4 linked regions of the Schizosaccharomyces pombe genome follow. The protein of the gene in region 2 purifies or fractionates together with the protein of the main gene of each other region. This does not show direct contact. Each region holds a gene or a part of one and is shown on either strand. Other genes may lie near its edges. The genes, in order: apc14, mad3, apc13 and hcn1.

Region 1 (3,143 bases), on a different chromosome or scaffold from region 2:
AATGCTCCTCTGTAGAAGAGGTTCTTTTAGCGTAGTAGCTAAATTTACTCTTTTGATGTTGTGAATAAGACAAGACGATATGATTTCGTTCTCTTTCACATACCAAAGTAAAAGGAGGTAAATTGAGTGTATTAAAACAGTTACGTTCTACACACATCACATTGATATTTTACCTAAATTTTGAAGAAAAACATTTTTTCTGGAATAAACGTTGGTTTAGAAGGTTGAAAAAATGAACACATCAGCTAGATTACTGGCGTTAGTCTCGAAATCAAAAAACAACTGGATTCTTCAACAAGGAGATACAAAACTATTTAAAAGCTTTCGTTTTAAAAACTTCATTGAAGCTTGGGGATTTATGAGCTGTGTCGCATTGCGTGCACAACAGCTAAATCATCATCCCGAATGGACTAATGTATACAATAAAGTGGATATTACGTTGACAACTCACGATACAAAGGGACTTACAGAAAAAGATTTAAAGCTGGCAGAATTTATTGATACACTTGCAAAGGATAACTGAAAGCTGCAACCAAGAGGGTAGTAGCGGAAAACTATCTTGAGACACAGATTGCCAGAAATTATTCTTAATATTTTGAATTAATTTAGTGTTTAGTGATGTGGTGTTTGAAAGGATAAGAATTTATATCATAAACTCATTAATCACCATTCAGCCAACTGGTCAAGTTGTTGAACATGTTTTGTCAGATGCTGCATAATAGCTTGCCTGTATTCTGGAATAGAACTTCTGCTGGAAGCAATTCTGGATATTGCAATTCTACTTGCCCTTTCATTTCTTTCTTGCTCGGCCTCTTCACCACCTATAACATCTCGATAATTCCAAAATTCAATGGCTTTTGAAGCTTCAGGGAGTAGAAGTGGTTTCTTGGCGAGAGGTTTTGGGTTGCCAGACATGGAGAGTCTTTGAAAGACGTTTCCAAAAGTTCGATAACTTTTGGACTGACCAGTACCAGCAAACGGATCCATATGACCTCGAAACGTTTTAATATACAAAAGTAAAAAAAACCCCCGTGAGTACTAAGAGACAATGACTTCAATCATTGATTTGTTCTTCTTTAAAAGAGAACCGTTTAAATATGAAAATTGTAATCTCTTTTGTATTTAAGCAGTAAGTGAAGAGGTTTGGACAAGTGATTAGGAAATTTCACCGATTTTCTTGTTTATTTACTATCTTGTGTGCGTAGTTGAACAAAACTCCTTGCCATCGTTAGAAAGCAATGCTTGTGGTATAAGAATGTGGAGTGTGTTATTAAAATAAAATAGTGAAGTCACCTTTTGTCTCCTAATATCTTAGTGAACTTTAACGTTGATGAACGATTCAATAACTGTAATGCTAAGAAGGATACATTGAGTTTCTCATATTTTTTTTTATTTGAAAAGAATTTTCATTATTATTATTTTTAATGATGCACCTAGTTATTGCAATCGCTATAGACTTTAAACTTTGTATTGAAAGAATTTGTCAAAATATTGGCAGTTGGTTATCAAAAAAAATAAATGTAAGGTATATGAAAATTAGGATGTTTTCATACTCACGAAAAATCATTTCTGGTAGATAAATCACTTAAATATATCACGATTACTTATTTTTAGTTATTTTACCTTTGAAATGTAAGACTGTATTACTTAAGTTTTTTCTTAGTATAATATGTGAACATACATATTGTCAGCGTACATCCTCATTCACCCTCAAACCTACAACGAAGTATTCTAACATGCTAAGGACTACTAGCCGGACATTTTCTAGGGCTTTGTCTTCTTCTAACTTTAAAATAAATTGTGGAAGAAGGCATTGGTTTAGTGTTTTGACGTTGCTTGAGCATCAGGGAGGGAACTTGTCTCCAGCATCCTTGTCAGCAGTAGAAGCAGCAAAGCGTACCGGTGGGGATGTTTTTGGATTTGTAATCGGTAAGGATTCTTCTCAAATTTCTCAAAAGGTAGCAAAATCGGTGAACGATTTGAAAAAGGTTATCTACGTTGAGAATCCGTCATATGAGCATAACATTCCCGATCAAATAGCCAATGTTCTTTTTGAAAATGTTAAGAAAAATGAAATTAGTCATGTTTTTTCTGCTCATTCAACTGTTGGTAAAGGGGTGATGCCTCGTTTGGCTGCTATGTTTGATGTGATGCAGATTAGTGACATTATTGGTGTGGTTTCTGCTGACACATTCGTTCGTCCGACATACGCGGGAAACGTAAACGTTACTGTGTCTACAAAGGATCCTATTAAAATCGTCACCGTTCGTGCATCTGCATTTGACGCCGCTCCTTCAAGTGGTGAAGGAGCAGCCACTGTTGTTGAAGGTATTGATCCAAAACCAGCTGCTCTACAAGAATGGGTTAGTGAGAATATTATAAAGAATGCTAGGCCTGATTTGTCTTCTGCCGAAAGAGTTGTTGCTGGTGGTCGACCTTTGAAAGACAAAGAGACATTTGAACGCATCCTTACACCTTTGGCTGACAAATTGGGTGCAGCAATTGGTGCTACACGTGTTGCCGTGGATTCTGGCTATGCTGATAATTCTTTACAAATAGGTCAAACTGGAAAAATCATCGCCCCAAAGCTTTATATTGCTGTTGGAATTGATGGTGCTATTCAGCATCTTGCCGGAATCAAAGATAGCAAAGTCATTGCTGCTATAAATCGCGATGAAAATGCTCCTATCTTTCAAACAGCAGATGTGGGAATTGTAGGTGACTTATTTGAAATCGTCCCGGAGCTTACTGAAAAACTTTGAAAATCATGTTGAGGAATGATTCCTTATTTTTCATAATATCACATTTATTTCAAATTTCACATCTTTTTAGAAGTTAATAAAATACACGTTTATTTAACTGGGTACTCGTAATAAATTAAGGAAATTTTTGATGTAATATTTAATTATATACCAGTGAAACAACTCTGAAGTCGTTTTATACATACATTTATGAAGCCACCTCAGCAAAGCTATCGTAGGTTGATTATCAAACATTTCAACGTATGAGAAAGAAAGGGATTTTTTTAGCGGTCTAGATATTTAACCAGAGATAAATGATAGAAACATGGAAAACATAGAATACGCATACACTCTCAGCAATACTTCAATGTCATCACAAAGCAAATCTATTAAAAGAAAATA
Region 2 (3,465 bases):
GTTGAATGCTAGGTAAGATTCCTACTTTATCGTCTTCTTTTGTTATTTTATTAACACGTTGTGTACAGTTTTGGAAATGCCATCGAGCTCATTGTAGGCGTTCTTGCTTTGAAAAGAGGAGAGCTCCGCATCGTTCAATCGTCCCTTCTCGGATCAATATTATCCAACTTGCTTCTTGTTTTTGGAATGTGTCTCGTAACTACTGGTATTCGTCGTGAAATTACCACATTTAATATCACTGTTGCACAAACTATGATTGCAATGCTTGCTTTATCTACTGCTACCATATTGATTCCTGCGACTTTCCATTACAGCCTTCCCGACAACGCTAATAGCGAAAATGCGCTTCTCCATGTCTCTCGTGGAACTGCTGTTATTGTACTCATCGTCTATGTTTTACTTTTAGTTTTCCAATTAAAGACTCATAAGCATGTCTGTCATGATCCCAGTGAAGTGGAAGAAGAAACTGAACCTCGAATTTTAGGCCTTCGTTCATCCATTGCCATGCTTGCTATCGTCACGGTTTTTGTTTCTCTTTGCGCAGACTATTTAGTAGGTTCGATAGACCAATTGGTTGAGGAAGTTAACATTTCAAAAACTTTCGTTGGTTTGGTCATCCTTCCTGTTGTAGGAAATGCTGCCGAACATGTTACTGCAATCGTGGTATCTTACCGAGGACAAATGGATTTGGCTTTGGGTGTTGCTATTGGTTCCAGTATTCAGATTGCTTTGTTTTTAGCTCCCTTCTTGGTAATCGTCGGATGGATCATCTCCCAACCTTTAACACTTTACTTTGAATCATTGGAAACAGTTATTCTATTTGTGTCTGTTTTCTTGGTTAATTACTTGATACAAGATGGTGCTACTCATTGGCTTGAAGGTGTTCAATTACTTGCTTTGTATGCGATTGTTGTTCTCGCCTTTTTCTACTACCCTCAATAAATTTTGTCGTTCCCTCGCTAGTTCCTTATTATGTCTACTCTTATGTGCTTGATATACTCTCTTGATTTCTTTGTGTTTTACTTTACGAAACTATCATACCGAACTTATTGATTTCTTATTTTTTTATACTAGATTTTTTTTTTTTTTGGTTTCTGTTACAAGGATATTTTGCAGACTTATTTTTTAGTATGCAAGTGTTAAATTATGCAGAAATCTCCCATTTTCGCAATGACTACACAACTCTAAATTTCTATTGCAGGTCAAGCCAATATCTGCTTGTTTACAGTAGCTTTTTAAGTCGCTCATTCTTCAGTCTCAGTTTCATGTGTCTTACCAGCTATGAAAATAGAAAATTAATTTTTGAATAAACTCTTGTAAATCGTTGTTTATAAATCTTCATTTTGTTTATTTTTATTAGTTGTTTTGTAGGTTGTGTTTTACATGATTTAATAATACAAGCCATTAGTATGTGAAGTGGTTAATTTTAATTCTTCTTCTGTTTCTGTATATTCGAAGAAACAGAAAAAACTTCTTATCTCTTTCATTGGACTCTTCCAGGCGTAAGTATGATACCCTCCCCCAGCGTCAAGTTGGCACTTACCTTCTAATTTACGCACAATCTTTCATACATTCCTACTCTTGCTCTTTGAGTGTTGACACTTTTAATTTTATACAAAAGCTTTCAGTACACCTTCTATTAAACTATATACTGGCTATTTTCGTTCTTTCAATAGAATTGTACTTGTCTAAATAAACTTTCCAATACTACTACACTCACATCTCCTTCTTTGTTTTATTTATTTTCATTTAGTGGAAGGTATAGGGTTCTCTAGAAAAGGTTTACTAATTTTTTGGAAGACATTGACTACAAATGGAACCATTAGATGCTGGCAAGAACTGGGTGCATATGGATGTCATTGAGCAGTCCAAGGAAAACATAGAGCCTAGAAAAGCTGGTCATTCAGCTTCTGCACTTGCAAAATCTTCGTCGCGAAACCACACCGAAAAAGAAGTTGCTGGTCTGCAAAAAGAAAGGATGGGCCATGAACGAAAAATAGAGACGAGCGAGTCTCTTGATGATCCACTACAAGTTTGGATCGATTATATTAAATGGACCTTGGATAATTTCCCTCAAGGTGAAACAAAAACTAGTGGACTGGTAACATTGTTAGAAAGGTGTACTCGAGAATTCGTACGAAATCCGCTTTATAAAGATGATGTTCGGTATTTACGAATATGGATGCAATATGTAAACTATATAGACGAACCGGTTGAATTATTTTCTTTCTTGGCACATCATCATATTGGACAGGAGTCCTCGATTTTTTATGAGGAATACGCAAATTATTTCGAGTCTAGGGGATTGTTTCAAAAAGCTGACGAAGTTTATCAGAAAGGAAAAAGAATGAAGGCTAAGCCATTTTTGAGATTTCAGCAAAAGTATCAGCAATTTACTCACCGTTGGTTGGAATTTGCCCCACAATCATTCTCTTCAAATACAAATTCGGTTAATCCTTTACAAACGACATTTGAGTCAACAAATATCCAGGAAATATCCCAGTCTAGGACTAAAATTTCTAAACCTAAATTTAAATTTTCTGTTTATTCAGATGCGGATGGTTCTGGAAAGGATGGCCAACCTGGGACCTGGCAAACTCTTGGTACAGTTGATCAAAGGCGTAAAGAAAACAACATATCGGCTACTTCTTGGGTAGGCGAAAAGTTGCCTTTGAAATCTCCAAGAAAATTGGACCCTCTTGGGAAATTTCAAGTTCATTGTGATGAGGAAGTATCGAAAGAATAACCGATAAAGAAAAGATTTAAAGTATTGGCGTTATTAGATTAACAACTATTGTACATCATGACTCCCGGAATAAGAAATAGGTTGAAACATGCGAATTTTAAGGGTTATACGAACTTAACATAAAGCATCTTATTTATACTACGATTTGCAGCTTTTTTTTATATTTTACTCTCAAATTAATTATAGTCAGCCATAAGTTAATGAATATGATATAAATAATTCTTTTATAGACAATTTATCAAAATAATAAACAGATAGCTCGATAAGTAATTACACCTCTATACAAGTAAAGCTAAGACCCCTTAGCTATAAATATTTTAACTAATGAGAAGGCCCCTCAAAAACCACAGAAGCAGCTTTGCCCAAACGATTCATGATAGCTAGCCCTTCATTTTCCTCGGAGACACCTTCAACCAAAACAAAATCAACTCCCTGCAGATCCAAATCTCGCAATTGAGCGAATAAATTCTTTGTAATTTCATGTCCATCCCTTCCCATATGCAAAAATACAAACGGACAGTGAGAAGGGAATGACTCTTCGTTCCAACGTTTACTACATAAAACACCAATCTTCTGCTTTTCCTTAGTGATTCCCTGCTCAGATAAATACTTTTCAAAAACACCGTATGCATCAGATTCTGTGTAATTGACAAAAAGTAGCACTTTGGCAGTTGGAGAGTAGTGTCTGTATTTCATACCAGGAGTTTGAGGGATGAAAT
Region 3 (2,657 bases), on a different chromosome or scaffold from region 2:
CAACGAGAATTGGCTGAAAAGATACAGAAGTTGCAATAGCTACTACCGATAATCCTCTGATTTCATCCATTAATGCTAATACGCGAATTCTAGCATGTTCAACGCTGCAATAGTCACCATAAAAGACAATAAAAAAAGAATTCTCTGCGTTCTTTTGACATGAAAATTCATGCCTAGTAGACTCTAAATGCCTTTGGTAGAAGCTTTGTTGTTCATTTAATCGATTGCTGAATCCGCTGTCAGTACGTAGCTGAAAATCGATATCATGACACATGGAACGATGCATGATATAAATTTTTGCTCCCGTTATTTCCGTTATTTTGTCCAAATGTTTCATAGTGTCTTCATAAACGTACCCATCTTCATCAAAAAGGAGGTTTTCGAGGGGTTCTTCGAGCACAAGTTTGCTGATTAGAATTTTGGGAATGGCTTGCAAAATCTTTATTTTTGCAGTGTACACATTTTTATAATTTCCTGAAACAGTAACCACTAGTTCATTGCGGGAAGATGATATGCTCATTCCTTTATGTTTGACATGTAGTTTTATATTAACTGGCAACTCTTTTTCTGTCTCAATGCACTTTTCTTCGGTTAATCTCCTAATTTGAGAGTAAATATCGCTTTCATAATAGTCACATTTACTAGCATAAAGGGATGCCTCTTCGGGAGGAGGTGTAGATGGATCAGGAATTGGAAATGCTAAAACATGAGAATCCATTTTGGTGATTTTAAGCACAAAATTTTCTTATTGTTAAATCGTTTGATTGGAAATTTCGAAGCTTAGTGAAGAGTAAGTTTTTCGTGTTCGAAAGAAAGATTAAAAGAAATCCAAAGGAATGATAAACGATATAGGTTTGAATACAAAATTATTCCGAAAGTTACTTCTGAAGGGTTGGTTGTTGGTTGTGTTGTTGCTTCCGTGAAAGTTATTGTTTAGCTTCCAAATGTAAATAAACAATGAATAAATCTTGGAATTGATATGCGATTGGCAATGAATGATAGCTTAAACTTTAATTTTTTGCTGAAAAATAAACAGAACGTTTTCGCAGAACGATGTGTATTGTACTAGTTTGACTGTGGAATACAAGTTTGTTTATGCAAAGGTAGACACATATATATATACAGCACATGACTCTAAGGTGATGCACTAATGACTAGGAATACTTTTAACATAACCATCACAATTTTGTATTCTTTTTACTAATTAGGATGGCTGATTTATGATCTGCCAAAGCCTCTTTAACTCAAAACAGTATATGATTTGCCATTGACATTTTTTCAGAAAAGGGGGAATATGATTATATGATTGTGAAATATACGCTTAATTTTTCATTATAACTCTGTCAGTATTGCTAGGGTTTTGGACACAATCATAGCTTAAGTAAAACATTGCACTATTAGTGTCATTCTTTGAAATTTGTAAGCTAAGCAAGCACATATATTTACCTTATTTATCAAGAAAAATAACATGCCAATAGGAATAAATAGATTAAGAGACGAAGGTTTTGAGAAGAATAGTAGCAAACCACCTAACTGATTTTTATTTCTACTTAAAAGTTCATAGAATTATGTGAATAAGAAATTAATCTAGAATTCTTATAATTGATTTTCATGGAAAGATCTCCCTCCCCCCAACTAGTAGACTTTGCTGCTAAATGCTTTGTTTACACACTTACCACCGACTTCTCCAATAACACCAACCGTATAAAAGCACCATAAGTCTCCTACTTGGAATCAGTAAAACAATTAATGGATTCGAATTACAATTATGTTCATATGAATAAACCGGGAGTAGTTTTGTTTGCCTCGGATTGGCTAAAAGATAGACTTCCAGTTGACGATGTCGAAGTGCGAGTAGAACACTTACCACCTGTTACAGAAGATGAGATGACTATTCAACATTCTAGTGCAAATCTAATCTTAATGAAAAACAAACAGCTTAGGCATGAACCGGCTTGGAAAGATTTGGAACTCGAAGATTTAGTTAATGCCTTTGCATTCATTCAAGGCTCTTCAAATGCCGAGGGTAAAAATACAATTGAAGATAATTTTGAAACAGATCCTTTCAAATCAGTCAAAGAAGCTCCAATGGCTCCTTTTCTTGAAGCGAACAGAAGGCATCAAGGAGAGCACGCTAGTATGCGGTATTTTAGATGATATACCTGAGGTTGTACGAACCAACAGTCGTTAATCCATTTCGGCTGTGAAAACTTAAATAAAGTCTACTCAAAAGTCATTGTATGTACACTTGTCCTAAAACGTGTACATTGACTTTGAAGTTTTTTATCGATCGATTCCACACTGATTATAGATTATCCAAACTTGCTATATCATTCTTTGATCAGAAAAAGAACAAGATGGCAGATTCGATACCCGTTAAGAAAAAAGGCTCAGCTAAAGGCCCTCCTTCGTTCGTAACGCCTGAATACATAGAGAAACAACGCCAAAAAAAACTTGAGAAAATGGGTATGAAAAAAAATTTTCGTTCATCTAGTCGAGCAACAATAAGAAGGTTGTTGTGAAACTTTTTTTAAGACCGAATCTCTACTCCTTTGTTTAATTTTTTGTTGCTCAATTTTATTAACTGATTATTAGCTAAGAAGGCTGCTCGAAAACCTATTGCTCCACCAAGCAATGCTCCACCCGAATTCAATACG
Region 4 (2,716 bases), on a different chromosome or scaffold from region 2:
TGTCATTCTCGTGGTATAATGCATCGTGACGTTAAGCCTCATAATGTTATGATCGATCACAAAAAAAGGAAGTTACGGCTAATTGATTGGGGTCTGGCCGAGTTTTATCATGCTGGCATGGAATACAATGTTCGTGTAGCCAGTAGATACTTTAAGGGTCCAGAACTGTTAGTAGATTTTCGAGAATATGGTAAGTTGCATCCACTTTTGTTAAATATATTTACGTTTCTTTTTTCCTAACCAAACTTTAGATTACTCCTTGGATATTTGGTCGTTTGGTGTCATGTTTGCTGCTTTGATATTTAAAAAAGATACTTTTTTCCGTGGGCGGGACAATTATGATCAGCTAGTTAAAATTGCCAAAGTTCTGGGAACTGATGAACTTTTCGCTTACGTACAAAAATACCAGATTGTGCTGGACCGACAATACGATAATATTCTTGGTCAGTATCCCAAGCGGGACTGGTATTCTTTTGTCAACCGTGACAACAGATCGCTTGCCAATGATGAAGCAATCGATCTGTTAAATCGTTTATTACGTTATGATCATCAAGTAAGTTACCGAACCTGAAGGTTTTTACAGGATCTTATACAATCACTTATTTTTTTAAGTGGTATATACTGTATAGTTACTAACTTAGCATAGGAGCGTTTAACTTGTCAAGAAGCTATGGCCCATCCGTACTTTCAAGTACTCAAATAAGAACTGAGGGAAGGGACTATAACTCAATTATCTCTACGGACAGCCTTTTCATTACTAGTTCCCTTCATTTTCATAAAAATGAACCAAATCCAATTCTAGTTTTAATTCTGGTTCATGTTTTATTATTCTTTTCTTATTATTAGACTTGAGTATTCCTCTTCATTTACGTCGGTGATAATTTAAGCTAATATTTCTTGCCCAAACGTTATCATCTCCCACACGATTCCTCGAAACGGTTCTTGCATAAGTACATCCTACTATAATATTGCTTTCACGTGGCGGAGCCTTCCCACTACTTTTTCCCCGTACCTACTCGTTAGACACTTGGTCTACATAGTGTCTGTGTCTATTGCTTTCCCTTACTCAAATTAGAGTTTTTTTTATTTTTAAATGCTATCGGGCTTACTAAACAGGTTCCAATTCTATAGTTTTCTTTAATACTTTAAACGAGTTTTTACCTCTTTAGGTACCTAACAGCTTTATTAATAGTAAGTAACTCTGCGTATTATGCATAATGAATGCAATCTAAAGAAGCGATGGAAATGAATATGCGATATTTCATGAATGAAAAGTAAAGCCTTAATTAGAGAGCAACCTTACAAAACCTCTTATTCTGTAGCGTTAATCTTGCGCAGCTGCTCATCCTGAACTTGTTGAAGTTCAATGCTCAAAACAATTGCCTTTTGTAAATTCATTTTACTGTATTTAACACATATTAGAATTCATCATATTAAAAAAAATGATAATGTCATAAACTAGGGATGAACTTACAGGAATTCGCATTTATTCAACACTGATTCCAAATGAAACAGTATTTGCTTTTGAACCTCAGTCAGCATGCCAAAATTTGCACCAAAATCTAATTCAAAAGAATGTGTTGTGATCTTTGAATTCGGAAAAAACAACTTTACTTATCTTACTTGGTAAAGTATATTGTTTAACCAGGCAAATTTGTTAAAAAAGGAGTAGTTTACCTCTCGCTTTATGCGTATTTATGGTAAAACAAGTATAAAACACTATAACGCGGTAGCTCAATCTCTCGCTTTTAGAAAATACTTTACGCTACGATCCAAATAAATGGGTTAACTTGTGTATCGTCTACCAAAACAACACCTAAAACAGCGTGTTTTATCATTGCATTGCAACTAAGGTGAGTTTCTTTCTTCCTCTCTTGCTTTTTCATCCTTGAATGTAAATAAAATTCAATCAAGCTGAATATAAATTTAATAACAGACCACATTTGTGTACTACGTTTGTTAGTATCTCCAACATGTTACGAAGAAATCCTACGGCAATACAAATTACTGCTGAAGATGTTCTTGCATATGACGAAGAAAAGCTAAGACAAACGCTTGATTCCGAGTCAACAACAGAAGAAGCATTGCAGAAAAACGAAGAGTCAACACGTTTATCGCCTGAAAAGAAGAAAATTATTCGTGAAAGAAGGATTGGAATTACTCAAATATTTGATTCTTCAATGCATCCTTCCCAAGGTGGAGCCGCTCAATCATAGACCGTGAAACTAAATCATAATTAAATCATCAAATAATCGTTAGCCCACATTTTTTCGATTTGCACTGTTTTGTTAGCATTTCACACCTGCCTCCATACTGCTGATCTTTACATATAACTATTTTAATCGGCCATCATAATATGGACTACACTGTCTATGTTAATTTAATTAGTAAGATATACATCGATTGATAGAACAGTGAAGTTTTCGTTAAACAATGACCAGTCTCATTAACTTTAATCTTGCATACATTTATCCTAATGCTTCACTCCATCAATTATTCAACTTAAATTCTTACCCATATCAAATTGTCAAGCTATTTCATTTCTATTGTTACCAAGAGTATTTATAAAGGTTATTCGCAAAATTTATCAAATCTATATATGTATATGCATGTCGACAAAAAAAAAAGTGGGCTTTAGGAAAGAGGTGAAGGCGTGTGGATCAAATAGATAGTTTGCGAATTAATAATTAAGAGTAAATTCGAAAAGCTCACTATA

Evidence for each region.
Region 1: the proteins of mad3 (region 2) and apc14 purify together in Schizosaccharomyces pombe (affinity purification with mass spectrometry, with the first as the bait; one study listed by BioGRID). This does not show direct contact.
Region 3: the proteins of mad3 (region 2) and apc13 purify together in Schizosaccharomyces pombe (affinity purification with mass spectrometry, with the first as the bait; one study listed by BioGRID). This does not show direct contact.
Region 4: the proteins of mad3 (region 2) and hcn1 purify together in Schizosaccharomyces pombe (affinity purification with mass spectrometry, with the first as the bait; one study listed by BioGRID). This does not show direct contact.

What each region holds. Positions count from the first base shown.
Region 1 is NC_003424.3:4,517,310-4,520,452, forward strand, and holds apc14 (anaphase-promoting complex subunit Apc14), read right to left. Parts: upstream 1,199-3,143; 5' UTR 988-1,198; coding exon 664-987; 3' UTR 524-663; downstream 1-523. Other genes in the region: omt2 (4-alpha-hydroxytetrahydrobiopterin dehydratase), read left to right, coding at 233-523; etf1 (electron transfer flavoprotein alpha subunit), read left to right, coding at 1,737-2,762. UniProt on the Schizosaccharomyces pombe protein: Component of the anaphase promoting complex/cyclosome (APC/C), a cell cycle-regulated E3 ubiquitin-protein ligase complex that controls progression through mitosis and the G1 phase of the cell cycle.
Region 2 is NC_003421.2:995,875-999,339, forward strand, and holds mad3 (mitotic spindle checkpoint protein Mad3), read left to right. Parts: upstream 1-1,541; 5' UTR 1,542-1,813; coding exon 1,814-2,746; 3' UTR 2,747-2,965; downstream 2,966-3,465. Other genes in the region: vcx1 (CaCA proton/calcium exchanger), read left to right, coding at 1-12, 69-942; SUA5/yciO/yrdC family protein Sua5, read right to left, coding at 3,068-3,465. UniProt on the Schizosaccharomyces pombe protein: Component of the spindle assembly checkpoint which is a feedback control that prevents cells with incompletely assembled spindles from leaving mitosis.
Region 3 is NC_003423.3:1,834,388-1,837,044, reverse strand, and holds apc13 (anaphase-promoting complex TPR lobe accessory factor Apc13), read left to right. Parts: upstream 1-1,689; 5' UTR 1,690-1,749; coding exon 1,750-2,157; downstream 2,158-2,657. Other genes in the region: SPOM_SPBC28E12.02 (BICC1 family RNA-binding protein), read right to left, coding at 1-718; SPOM_SPBC9B6.11C (CCR4/nocturin family endoribonuclease), read left to right, coding at 2,241-2,466, 2,596-2,657. UniProt on the Schizosaccharomyces pombe protein: Component of the anaphase promoting complex/cyclosome (APC/C), a cell cycle-regulated E3 ubiquitin-protein ligase complex that controls progression through mitosis and the G1 phase of the cell cycle.
Region 4 is NC_003424.3:2,152,822-2,155,537, forward strand, and holds hcn1 (anaphase-promoting complex TPR lobe accessory factor subunit Hcn1/Apc12), read left to right. Parts: upstream 1-1,805; 5' UTR 1,806-1,973; coding exon 1,974-2,216; downstream 2,217-2,716. Other genes in the region: serine/threonine protein kinase Cka1, read left to right, coding at 1-190, 252-553, 647-703. UniProt on the Schizosaccharomyces pombe protein: Component of the anaphase promoting complex/cyclosome (APC/C), a cell cycle-regulated E3 ubiquitin-protein ligase complex that controls progression through mitosis and the G1 phase of the cell cycle.